Sus scrofa: one gene and its partners. The protein of the gene in region 3 interacts with the protein of the main gene of each other region in a pairwise test. Links are inferred from orthologs where the notes say so. Each region holds a gene or a part of one and is shown on either strand. Other genes may lie near its edges.

The links.
Region 1: the proteins of FAM131C (region 3) and HPCAL4 interact in binary tests that used the Homo sapiens proteins (3 or more experiments, as listed by UniProt). The two-hybrid records come from large-scale screens. The link is inferred for Sus scrofa from reciprocal best matches to the Homo sapiens genes FAM131C and HPCAL4.
Region 2: the proteins of FAM131C (region 3) and VSNL1 interact in binary tests that used the Homo sapiens proteins (3 or more experiments, as listed by UniProt). The two-hybrid records come from large-scale screens. The link is inferred for Sus scrofa from reciprocal best matches to the Homo sapiens genes FAM131C and VSNL1.

The regions. Positions count from the first base shown.
Region 1 is NC_010448.4:95,513,047-95,517,429, forward strand, and holds the start of HPCAL4 (hippocalcin-like protein 4), read right to left. Parts: upstream 2,847-4,383; 5' UTR 2,666-2,846; intron 1-2,665. UniProt on the Homo sapiens protein: May be involved in the calcium-dependent regulation of rhodopsin phosphorylation.
Region 2 is NC_010445.4:120,285,305-120,289,589, reverse strand, and holds the start of VSNL1 (visinin-like protein 1), read left to right. Parts: upstream 1-1,432; 5' UTR 1,433-1,800; intron 1,801-4,285.
Region 3 is NC_010448.4:75,198,580-75,202,175, reverse strand, and holds part of FAM131C (protein FAM131C), read left to right. Parts: intron 1-837; coding exon 838-953; intron 954-1,831; coding exon 1,832-1,867; intron 1,868-2,114; coding exon 2,115-2,208; intron 2,209-3,596.

The DNA of each region.
Region 1 (4,383 bases), about 20 Mb from region 3:
CTTTCTTTCTGATTCCTCTGTCCCAAGAGAATGTTTTTTCTGTTATTGCCCAAAAGTACAATATAAACTAGAGATAGATGGTGGCCTTGCCCATGAGCCCCCTCAAACTCCAGAGTCCTCTAGAATCTGATGTCAAGGTGTCTACCTGTCTAGCCTCACCTCCCACTGCTCCCCTCTCAACTACGTACTTTCAAGCCAGAACCTATTTCAACTATTGCTTGGCTGTTTTCATCTTCCCTAATAGCCTTTCTGCCCTTCTGGGCTGATGCAGCTATAATCAGCCTTTGGGCCTGACTGAAGCCCACTGCCTTATGATCAGCCTCCCCCAGCCTGGAGAGTAGACAGTCAGCAGCATGGACTTGGCATTCTGGGCATGGAGTTGAGCCCACAGGTGCATAGACTCCAGAGTCCTCTGACCCTCACCTGGCGCTCTAGAATTCGGGAATAGAGCCTGATTTGGGGGAGACCTTTGCATTAAATTCTTGCCTGAGCCAGGAAAAGTTCTCTAGACCTTTTGCTCCATGGCAAAGAGTTTATCCCTACTTGATGTAACCCAGCCTTCTTGGGAGCAGCTGGGCCAGTGAGAAAAGTGTTTCTCCCACTGTTCCTATCGTGCCCTCTTGTAGCTGCCCCACGCAGGTTTCCATTCTGCCCTCTGTGACAGTACAGAACTGCCCTGCAGAGACCTAAAGGCCATGTCTGGAACACAGACATGTTTAATGAATGTCCCTGCATGGATTATATGGGAGAGGCAGAACCCCCTTTTTTCTCCTTGAGATGATGGCTGGCTGGTTTGTTTATCTGTGTTCTCCTGCCATGGCACCTTAGAGACAATGGGGAAAGGAAGAGTTCACCCAAGGTCAAGTAGAGCCCGTCAGCAGAAAGGTGAAGGCCAGAACCCACTGGGGGCATGTCCTGTTGCAGCTGCGGCCATGCTGAAGATGGGCAGGCTCCTCTTGAGGGCTGCCCTCCAGCCTTGAAGGAGCTGGCACTGCCCCATACACAAAGCCGCTGTCCCTCTGGGCTCAGAAGCTACTTTCAGAGGGCAGGGCCCAGGAGTGTGGGCTCCAGAGGGAGAGGTGGCAGGAAGGGTGGGAGGGACTGAGGGAGGCAATAATCCCACACCCTCACCCAGCTTCAGAGGAGCTGGTGCTGAGACTGTTGCTATGGTGACAACAGCTCCCTGGTCAGGAGATTTTTCTCTTTCCTCTCCTTCCTTTGCTCTTCTCCAAGCAGCGGCCATAGCAGCAACAGTCAGGTCTTCTCCTTCTCCTTATTATTGAGAAACAGGGGATGACAAAAAAAGGGTAGGTCCTGTTGAATTCCTCTACCCTGAACCTGCCCATGTCATGCGGGCTGATGACCTAGGAGGGACTCCTAAAAGCTGAGAAGAAGCCTGGGTCTGGAAAGTGTGTGGGAGGGGGTGGTCCATACTCAGGTCTGGGAAAGAAGCAATGTCCTTTCAGTGAGGACTAAAGTCCCTGAGGCTTCCTCTCTCAAATGTCCTAAAGGTTCAGGGAAAGAGGGAGAGGGCCCTGTTTTCTCATAATCAGCCACAGAACCAGAGTATGTCAGTGCTGGAAAGCTGTCCAAGATCATCTCATCAACTCCACACTCTGGCTTGCCCACACCAACCCCACCCCTGAATTCCCCATTTGGTGGAAGATCAGAGAAGGAAGTGACTTGGCCTAAGTCAAACAGCCACTGAGGCAAAGGCAAGATCTGAGCCTGGCTCTTCTGCCCTCCAGGTTCAGGCTGCCTTAGGCAAGGCACACCTGGAGCTTTGTCATGGTCCCTGTGGAGCCACAGGAAGATAGGAGAGAGGGAGCGGCTGGATGCCAGAAGTCCAGGAAGGGTATGAATTAGATATTTGAGAGGTGGAATGAGAAGACTTGGTGCTTTGGCCGTGAGGGCTGAGAGCTGGGGGAATGGAGGAGGCTGGGTGGGACCTTGACGGTCTGTTGGGGGTGTTGTCCCTGGTTCATCCTCCCACCAGGCAAAAGAGGCCTGCGCCTCACACTGAGACCCTGGGCAGGGGGGCTGTTGAGAGAGTGTCTCAAGGAAGAGAACTGGATGTGGGAGCCTCCTCCCTCCCACAAGTATGCTATGAGCTCTGTCAGCTTGAGAGCTGGAGGTGCGGACAGTCTGAGGCGACAACGTGAAGTGGGAGTGGGCTCTCTGTGGAGGCGGAGGCTGTCTTGGGGGCCAGCGACATTGTGGTGTGAAGTGCAGTGACCTCTTGGTGGGGTTGGATGGTGTGCGGTGAGGGCTACCTGTGGAGGTGGGTGGTTGCCATGGGGCTGGGGCAATCTCCCATTTCCAAAGGAGGGAGAGTGATGGGTTCCTTCGTTGGCACCAGCAACACTGCGACCCCAGGTGTGTGTGTGTGTGTGTGTGTGTGGTGTGTGTGTGTTGGGCGCGAGAGCAGTGGTTGCTCTGAGAGTAAGGACACGCTTCTGCCTCCTTCCCTGGGACCTGTAGGGTCTGGAATGGACTGGAGGGGTGGGGAGGAATCCTCTGGCCAGGGGCGGGCTCTCCATATACTGCCTCCTATGGTGGAACCAGGGGTCAGGGAGATGGATCAGAGTGGGGCAGAAGACGAGGATGGGAATGGAGAGTGGAGGGGGAGGGGACAAGGGCCTCCTCCCGGCCCTGCCCGCGTTACCTGAGGCCGAGCGCCGGGTCGCTGGATGACTCTGAGCCTCGGCGGGCCGTGGGGACCGAGACTGGCTCGCGGGCCGGCCGCCAGGTTCTCCAAGGTCCGCGCCGGAGCCGCCTCCCAGCTCTTGTATCACTATGTGTCTGTCGGAGGCGACACGATTTGCATAAGCCCCGCCTCATTCTGGGCAGATTAGGCGTTGATTGGCTCGGCTGAGGCGGAGTGGCAGGCGGGGTTTCAGGTGGGGACCAAGTGGCCAGTGAGGCTGGGCTACAAGAACGCGCCCCGCCTGCCCTCCCTGACCTTCCCAGAGTCGCGAGGAAGAGGGAGGGCTGTACCCCCATCTGTCTCCCTCCCCGAGGCTCAGACCCGGGCCTCAGGGGTTAAAAGTGTCCACGATTGATATGGATCCGCGAAAACAACCGCACGGTTGCTATGGAAACGAGAGAGCCACAGCCGAGTCTCTAAGCCTTTCCTTCTTGGGCCCCAGCGGGGGTGGGGACAGAAAAGGGGATGAGTCACAAGATGTGACCCCCTCCTGTATCTCACCCCAAATCAGAGGAGGGTGAGGAGGAACTGAGTGGGGAGGAAAAAGATGCGGTAGTCAGCAGCCCACGCCTTCTCATCCCCCTTCCAACCCAACCACCCCTCTCGCCAAGGAACTGAGAGCAGGCAAGTGGACGGGGATGGCGAAGTACCCAGGCTCCACTTAGCCCCACGCTAGTCCTGGGCCCCTTACAGCCTCTAATTCCGATCCCTCCCCAGACAGACTTTCCTTATTTCTCAGTCTCAGGAAGCCTCCTGGGATCTCTCTGCCTACCCTATGGACCCCTCCATTCCCCACCCTCCGGTCTCCTTAGACGAAGTCTGTCCCCAGCCGCCGCCAGTCTCTGGCTTCGGATGTTGACACAAGCCCGAGGCGGTTTACACTGAGCAGGTCTGGAAGGTTTCAGGGCCCTGGGAACACCTCCTCCCGCACTTGGGGGTCTCCCCAAAGCCCTGTCCTGCCGCCCCAGCTGCAATGGAAGCTGAGAGCTCCCGACCCAAGGCGACGAGAGGGAACCTTTTTACTCCAAGCTGGGGGAGGTGGGGGGGGCGAGTAGGGAAGGGGAGCAGCCAGCCTCTGGCTGGGCCACGTGCAGGGGAGGGACTGCTAAGCATCTGTCAAAAGTAGGGCGGGGAGTCTGGGGATTAGTCCAATCAGAGCTGGGATGCTAAAGAGCCATGAGGTGGGAGGGGGAGAGGCGGGACTTCTGCCCAAGAAAGCAATTTTTGCGGTGGGCGGGGCCAGCTGGTCAAGAGCGAAGGCTTGGTTTCTCGGCTGATCCCAGAAACTTCATGGCCAGGCTCGCTGGGGAGAAGTCAGTGGTGTTCTCTCTTTTTCTTTAGGCACCATCCCAGTCCCTCTTGAACCTGTTTTGCTGTCCCTTCCTCCTAGCTGCAGGCGTCCTAGTGGGATGAGAGCATACCTGGGGCACCAGTAAGTAGGCACGTCCCTGTCCCCTTTGGTGACTGACAAGGGACAGGTGTTTGAAAGCCCTGACTCCGTCACGTCCTGAGCCTCTAGCCCTGGGGACCCATCCCTGCTCACTGATATCATAATCCAAAGCATGAGGAAGTGGAAGTGGCAGCATAAGATGCTGGAAGTGGTCTCTAGAATTTGAAAATGGAGTCCCGTCTTTGCCAATGACCCCACATAAGACCATGGGCAACATCCTTCTCAC
Region 2 (4,285 bases), on a different chromosome or scaffold from region 3:
TTGCCACGGGAGATATTCTTGGTGTCCTCAGACCCCAAAGGTTAACTGCAGTTTTCCTGGACGTGATATGGTTTGAAGGCGTTTTGCAAAGCTCTCTGCTTGGATCTTGTTAGCGCCTCCAGAATCTCCCTCCTTGAAAGTGCAATTACCGCCTGAAGATACACCTCGACTGGAGGTGTACATTTGGTATCACCAAAGCTTAGAAAGGTACCTTAAGTCAGTAGGCAGGTGGTTGAGTTATTCAAACAACACCATTGAGGCAGGTTGGGAACATGTGGGAATTCTCCTTGTTTTTCTGGTAGGGAAGCGACCAGGCATTTACTGGGCACTACTCCTTGCCAAGTCTTCTAGGCATTGGCTAGGACAGTTAGGACGGGGCTGGGCCGGCCAACGTCCTAGTCCTTCAGAAACACAGAAGAGGACTTTAGGGAGTTCCCGTCGTGGCGCAGTGGTTAACGAATCCGACTAGGAACCATGAGGTTGCGGTTCGGTCCTGCCTGCTCAGTGGGTAACGATCCGGCGTTGCGTGAGCTGTGGTGTAGGTTGCAGACGCGGCTCGGATCCTGCGTTGCTGTGGCTCTGGCGTAGGCTGGTGGCTACAGCTCCGATTCAACCCTAGCTGGAACTCCATATGCGTGGAGGCCCAAGAAATAGCAACAACAACAACAAAAAAAAAAAAAAAAAAAAAAAAAAAAAAAAAGAAGAGGACTTTATAAGACGTCTTAGTCCAAGCCCTCAACCCTGGAATTCCAAGAGTGGTTCATTCCTTCCCCTTCACTGCCCCCCTCCCCAAGCATATTCAATAAAACGTCTTAAGGGCATAAAGAAGGCCCTTGTTAAACACATGTTGATAATTAGCATGATTCGCCCAAGGTCACCCAAGGCAAGAAGCTTCAAACCCAGGTCCCCTCAGTACACATTTCTCCACGCCATTCTGGACTCGGACCCTCCTGAGCAGCGGATACTAAAAGGCCAGCTCCTAGTCCTCCCAGTATAAGACCCTCGGAAGAAATGGCTCACGCCAACTGCCCACCATAAGAGTTTCTCCACTTTGAGCCAGGAAGATGCCCTCACAGCTTACTGGAAACGCTTCCTTCAGAGAAAGGTATGTCTGCAAGTTATCACCTTCACCTTAAAGCTGACAAAGGGGGGCCGAGGGCCCTCTAGGGCTGAGGGCCATGGGAAAAGCGGGCTCTAAGCTCTCCACCTCTGGCCTCGCCTTCGCCAACAGACTGGGTAACTTACTTTGCTCCGCCTGTCCAGGTGCGGGTTGCCCCAGAGGCCAGGCTCCCTTTTCCTATCTACTTTCCTTTTGAGTTTCTGCTAAAATCTGGAGACATGGAATCCACTCGCGGCAACTCCGAGCCCCTCGAACTGAGCATGCGCCAACGCCTGGCTGCTTTTGGTCACCGGCCCCAGAGCTCTCCGAGCTGGTGCTGCGGAGCGGGAGGAGGAGGAGGAGGAGGGAGGGAGGGAGGAGGGGAAAGGGGAGGGGGTGCCTGGAGAGGCGGAGGCTCGCGCGCCTGCGCATCCAGTTCCAGGGACCCTAGGTTTTTCTATGGGATTCCCAATCTGCAGCAGATTTACCGGAGCGCGTTGCGGCGGCGGCTGGACTTGCAAGGCGCGATCCTAGAGGGATTTAAGCAGCCTGGAGCTCCGGAGACAAAAAGAGCGCGAGAGAACCACACACAGAGCCGGCTTAACCGTTTATCCGAATTAAATATATACACATATAGTTATTTCTAAAGAACTGTTGAGTTTTATCATTGTCGTTAAGTGACCGTGCGCAGCGCTATAACTGTAAGTGGAAAATACAATCTTCGTTGCATTTTTGCATGTGTAGTGCAGCCAATTGTCTGGGAGATGGTTTGGCTATTGTCACATACTTTGCTTTGCATAGATACAGCTAAAGGCACGGTGAGAACTGCTTTGGTTAATGCTGGTGATGGAACCTGCAGTTAGTCCGAGAGGGACCTTTTGGAATAATGGGGGTGGGGGAAGGGGGAGTGTTTGTATGCGGCGTGTTTGGGGGCTTATCTTAGGCTAGCTTTAAGATAGGTGAAACAGAGGTGCTTTTTAAGTTTGTCTATAAATAAGCAGCTTTTCTTCCACCGATTTAAGTAGTTAATTGACCGATTGTGAAGTTTTCCGGTTGCTGATAAAACTATTGAGCGGTTGCAGTCAAGTACCAACCTGTCATCCGTGGGGCTGGTGCACCATTTTTCTCACCGTGGAAGAGCAGTGAACGTGTTCGTTAAGTAAAACTGAGTGGATGAGATGGTGTGGAAACCAGGGTGGGTTTCCAAGAGGATGTGAGTGTTCAGAAACACCGAGGTAGGCGCAGAATAAGCACATGTCTCTGAGTATTTAGAGATGATTAGATCATTTTTCGGTTTTGATTTTTCGTCACGATGGTGAATGAGCAGAAAAAGGGACGGTGTTCAACCGCCCAGTCTAGTCGTCTATTTTGAACAGAGTCTGAGACTCAGAGCCGCCGAACGGGGACTGACAGACGCAAACTAGTTACCTGCTTTTGCATCCCGTATTCGCATTCTTGCATGCAGGGTTGAAAAACGTCTCTTACCCAGATATTTTACCTTCGGTAGCGTTTCTTTAAAGGAGAAAGGGGTCGTTTCGTGGTTTGAGTTAAAACGGGCTGTTCCTTGCCCAGAAACGGAAGAAGGGTCTTTGCAAGGTCAAACCCCCTGTGGAAGGAAATCAGGGGCGCTGGTGAATCGGGGGAGGGGGCAGGAAATGGGGATGCTCCATGCGAGTGCTCAGCACTGCACGGATCAGTGCCCTGTGAGATGCCAGAGTGGGAGTCCATTTTTCTAGAGTTGCCCTCCTGTCCATATTTTGGAGACTAAAATGAGATGGAAATGCTAGTGGGTGCAAAAAAAAAAAAAAAAAAAAAAAGAAAGAAAGAAAGAAAGAAAACAAGTGTAGCCACTGCCTGTGTGTCACAGCCCACTTGAAGACAAGAGGATCCAAAGAGTTGTATTGTTGCATGTTAATTTTTTAATTTTCACGTTGGGACAAATTAAAAAGGAAACTCTCGGGAAAACACGTTTTATCCTCACTGCCATTTAAACTGCCTACATGTGAATGTTGGAGGGGGGGGGAACGGCCTCTGGCATCATCGAACACCTCACTCGTGAGTACCCTCTCATTAAGCTTGGGTGTTTAATAACCCCAGAAAATGCTGCACTGAAGCAGGTTGGCAGAATGGCATGAGGCAGGCAGATGAGAGAAGAGCGTGGCCAGTGTATGCTGGATTTCTGTGGAAAAAGCAGATCCAATTTCTGGGATGAAAGGAAATAAATTTTACCCCAGATAGGACAGATTACTATAGGACTTTTTGGCCCTTTAATCAGTCCAACTGTTTGGAACTCTTGGAAGAAATTTTATCATTTATTTAAGTGGATGAAATTGGAAATAGAAAATTCGAGAATATCCTCTCCTTGGAAACCCAAAGTGTAAATCAGACTGCCTTCTCCATTTGTCTCTTCTTTACTCCAGGGCAGAAGGACCAATCATTTGTCATAATGAGCCATACTCCTTGTCATCAGAGAGAGTTGGAATCAGCTCCCTGAATGGTGCGGGTGTTGCCCCACACTGATAAATGGGTGCTAGAGAAAGAATGGGAAACCTGGTCTGAAAGCTCACAGATGTTTGCCCTCGGATACTCTGGTTCATAGGCTGACAGTTTTAGAGGGTCACATCGGGCAGAGACCTTCGAAAGCATCTAGCCCAAACCCTTATTTTACACATGAGGAAACTGAGGCCCGGAGCCTGGAGCTAGGGAAAAGTCAATTAACTTCTAGCCTATGGAATCAAGAATTAAAAAGTAATCTTGAAGGGAAATGTTTCCTTCTCTCTGCACATTTAGCATCCTTAGTGACACTGCTGACGTCTTCAAATAAATAAAAACCTGCACCCCAGCACATCTTTTGAGAAAGTCCCAGGGGTTCCTTTTCACACTATCATATTTCCCTTCTCTGCCTCTCTTTTTTTTGTGTGAGGTCTCTATTTCCTTTCTCTCACCCCTCATGTCTGATATACCTGCCGCCTTAGATGTTTAGTCTGGCCTCCTCTGTACCTCAGTCAAGTTCTTTGGCATCCTTCGAGTTATTGAAGAGAACTGGCAAACGAGTCAGAATCTTCAGCTCCTGTTTGAAAACTGTCCAGGCCCATCACCATCCCCTCTCTACTCTATTCCCCCAAATCCTTCAGGGAATCCAGCCTTTTGAGACACTGCAGGCAGCCTTCCCCTCTTTTCTACCTG
Region 3 (3,596 bases):
AAGCTCTCCTTTGCGGATGCCCTTGACCCTCTCAACCCTCCACCTGCTTCGTGCCTGAACCCTCAGAGCTGCACGTTGCTGGGGAAAGTCACCAGCCTCCGGTTAAATCAGTGCCCACGCTCCCCAGAGATCCTTCTCTGTTTCTCTGACACCTGCCAGTTTGCTTCCGGCGAGGTTGGCGACCTCATCCCCTCTCCTTCTGGAACCTCCAACACAGACACCCCCGGCTGCTCCCTGCACCCTGCTGCTGGCTTCTCTCCAGCTCTCTAGCTGAGATCCAGGGGGCTTGGAAGGCATCGACCCATTCTCTCCACCACGGATCACATGGTCTGCTTTCCGTCTTGATGAAAGAAGAGCCGTCCCTGCTGAGGGGTCCAGGAAGGAGGGGACCTGACTGGACTCCTCACCTGTGGCCTCGAGTCTGTTTTCTACAAAATGACCTGAGTGGAGTTTCCGACGTGGCTCAGGGCTTAATGAATCCGACTAGGAACCACGAGGTTGCGGGTTCAATCCCTGGCCTCACTCAGTGGGTTAAGGATCCTGTGTTGCTGTGAGCTGTGGTATAGGTCGCAGACATGGCTTGGATCTAGTGTTGCTGTGGCTGTGGTGTAGGCCGGCAGCTACAGTTCCGATTCGACCCCTAGCCTGGAAACCTCCATATGCTGTGGGCGCGGCCCTAGAAAAGACAAAGAGACAAAAACAAAACAAAACAAAACAAAAAAGTGACTGAGGAATAAGAAAGAAACGCCCCCCGTCTCTCAGAACTGGCTTGAGCAAGCTTCGTAAGCAAGAGTGCACTGGGCTTTTCTAAGTCCCACCTGTTTTTCTTATTTCCAGATTTGTTCACAAGTGCCCACAAGGACTGCCCCATGCCCCAGGGCACGGCCCCTCTGAGCCCGAACTTGCCCTCCAGCTGCCCACCCATCATGGCTCCAGACCGTGTCACTGGCAAGGTAATTGGTGTCGCTTCATCCCCACCTTCTTCCTGCACTAGGCCCTGGTTCTTGGGCTGTGCCCTACGGGTCCCCAGAGGGAGCAGAAGCCATGTCAAGCTCCTTTCCACCTGCCAGGCTTGGCTACTTCCTGTGGGATCAGGGCCCCTAAGGGTTGGTACTCAGCTGGATGAAGGTCTGAACTGGCTGGGCATCCAAGGACTGAACCAGCCTGCTGAGAATAGAGAGCCCCATGCTGAAGCCTTCCCATCCAAGGTAACTCAGGCTTGCGGGTAACACGTTCTGTTACCAGCCCACGACTCCCTAGCAGCCTGCACTGCCTGCTGGAGAGGAAAGGCCTGGAATTCTCAGTCCAGGAGATCTGGAAGGTCTAGCAAGGAGCCTCCAATCCTGGTGCATAATTTCCACCTTTGCCCCCGAGGTTGTGGCTTGAACCTACTGGTTAATGCAATTACCTTTTTTTGGAGCATATACCACAGGCCAAGTGTTGTGCCAGGCATTTTGCCTACATTATGTCATTTATGCGTCAAAACAGCCCGGGAGGTAAATGGCATTGTGACCATTTTACAGAAGATGAACCTGATGTTCTGAGATGTTCAGGCACCTGTCCAGGGATACCCAGGTAGCAATGGCAGAGTCAAAACTCGAACCCAGATCTGATCCAGCCCCTGTACCCACTGCCTCTCCTGGCAGACCCACCGCTGCCCCGCCTCCACCCCCCAGACCACTTCTGTCCCCGCCAGGGGACACCAGGGCATAACCCATGAGTAGGCAGACCCTGACCTCAGGGAGCACCAGAAAGCTGACCCAGGGCTTCATGCCATCTGCTGGCACACTGTGCCAGGCTCCGCCTGTTCCTCTTTCTCCCTTTGTTTTAGGACAAACAGATGGATTTCTGTTGGGATCCTTGGCAGGTCAGTGCACGTGCCCCGCCCCTGGTCTAACCAGCCCCAGCTGCCCCTGCTGCCCCCGCCTCTGCTCGGCCCAGCCCGGGCACATGGAGCTGCCCACCCGGTGGGGGGGTGCTGAGGACATAGGTCCTGTGGGGGTTGGCAGGATTGCCCAGAGTACCTGGGGAGGGTGGGTAAGGGGGCTGGGAGGGGTGGGGGATGCCATCTCGTAGGTCTGCCTCCCCCTGCTCACCCCCTCCCCCTCCTGCAGAGGTGCTTCCAGACCACCAATGGCTACCTGTCCGACTCCAGGTCGTGCTCCAGCAACTATAACGTGGCAGCCCTAGCCACCTCATCCCTTGTGGGTAAGCTCTGCTGCCCTTGAAGTTGGCAACCCCCCACCCCCAGGCACTAGCTGTGGGAAGGTCAAAGGTGAATTGCAGCTGGAAGGGTCGCCACCCTGTTGGAGTCAACATTTTTGTTTGTTTTTTTTCCTTTTTAGGGTTGCACCTGTGGCCTATGGAAGTTCCCAGGCTAGGGGTCAAATTGGAGCTGCTGGCCTACACCATAGCCTCAGCAACGTGAGATCCAAGCCCCGTCTTCGACCTACACCACAGCTCATAGCAACACCTGATCCTTAACCCACTGAGTGAAGCCAGGGATCGAACCCTCGTCCTCATGGATACTAGTTGGGTTCTTAACAGGCTCACCCACAGTAGGAACTCCGGATTCGACTTTTTCTAAAGGCCAGGCTCCATGCTGGGCCCTGCAGTACTTAGGGTTCCTGCCCCTGGCACCGCCCCCCCTCCCCCCGCCCCCGCTGCCGTGTGTTGAATTGTTGTATCCTCCAGAAGTTCTGGGAGATGGCCCTGATTTTCCGGGCGTCTGCCCCGTGTGGTCTCCCCGCCCCTCTGCAGACGTTGAAATCTGCCACTCAGGCCAGCATGGGTTGGGGTTCCCTAGAAGCAGAGCCCGAGTTGAGAATTGTCGTGCTAGTGATTTGCTGAGGGAGTGTTCTGGAAGGGAACCTGTAGGAAGGAAGGGAGCCAGGGCAGCAGCACAGGGCAGGGCAGGGAGCTCGGCAAAGGTGTGGTGGCAGAAGTCTTGTCCTTCTCAGCCCGATTCCATGGGAGCTCCGGAGCATGACTCGCACCACGGGATTCGTGGCGCTGAGGCCAGGTGGCTGATTTTATGTTATTCCTCCAGCAGTCTGTCACTGGCTGCCACTGGGCTCTCCCACCTCCCCAGCTTCTCCAGGTGAGGCAGTTCCCATTGGCCAAAGGCAAGGCTCCTGAGAAGGATGCGGGTGTGAGCTGCCAGCAGCAGCAGCCGGGAAAGGGGCCTCGCTGGGCCACCAGGTCTCCCAGGCTGTCCTCAGCCGGCCAGCTCCTCTCTGCTCACAGCTTTGCTCCTTGTCCCTCAGGCTCTCATGTCATTAAATCCTCATGGCCCTTGCTGCCCCCTGACCTTTGCCTTGCCCTTTCCTCTACCCCATCTGCCCCTCGGGGGCCACTGAACCCCCCCCAGAAACCCTCTCTGGTTGCCAGACTCCCCAGCCCTGGGGGATCACCCCCTGCTTGTTCACCCCCATCCCCCCATTTCCCCAGAGTCATACATCTGTTTTTTTCTCTTAAATATTGCCTTTCCTCACATGCACGACTTCTAGGACCAGTGACCCCCAGGTCTGTGTTCTCAGCCTTGGTTAAAGGAGATGCTGAACTGTTCTTGATGACCTTCTTTCTGTCACCTTTCA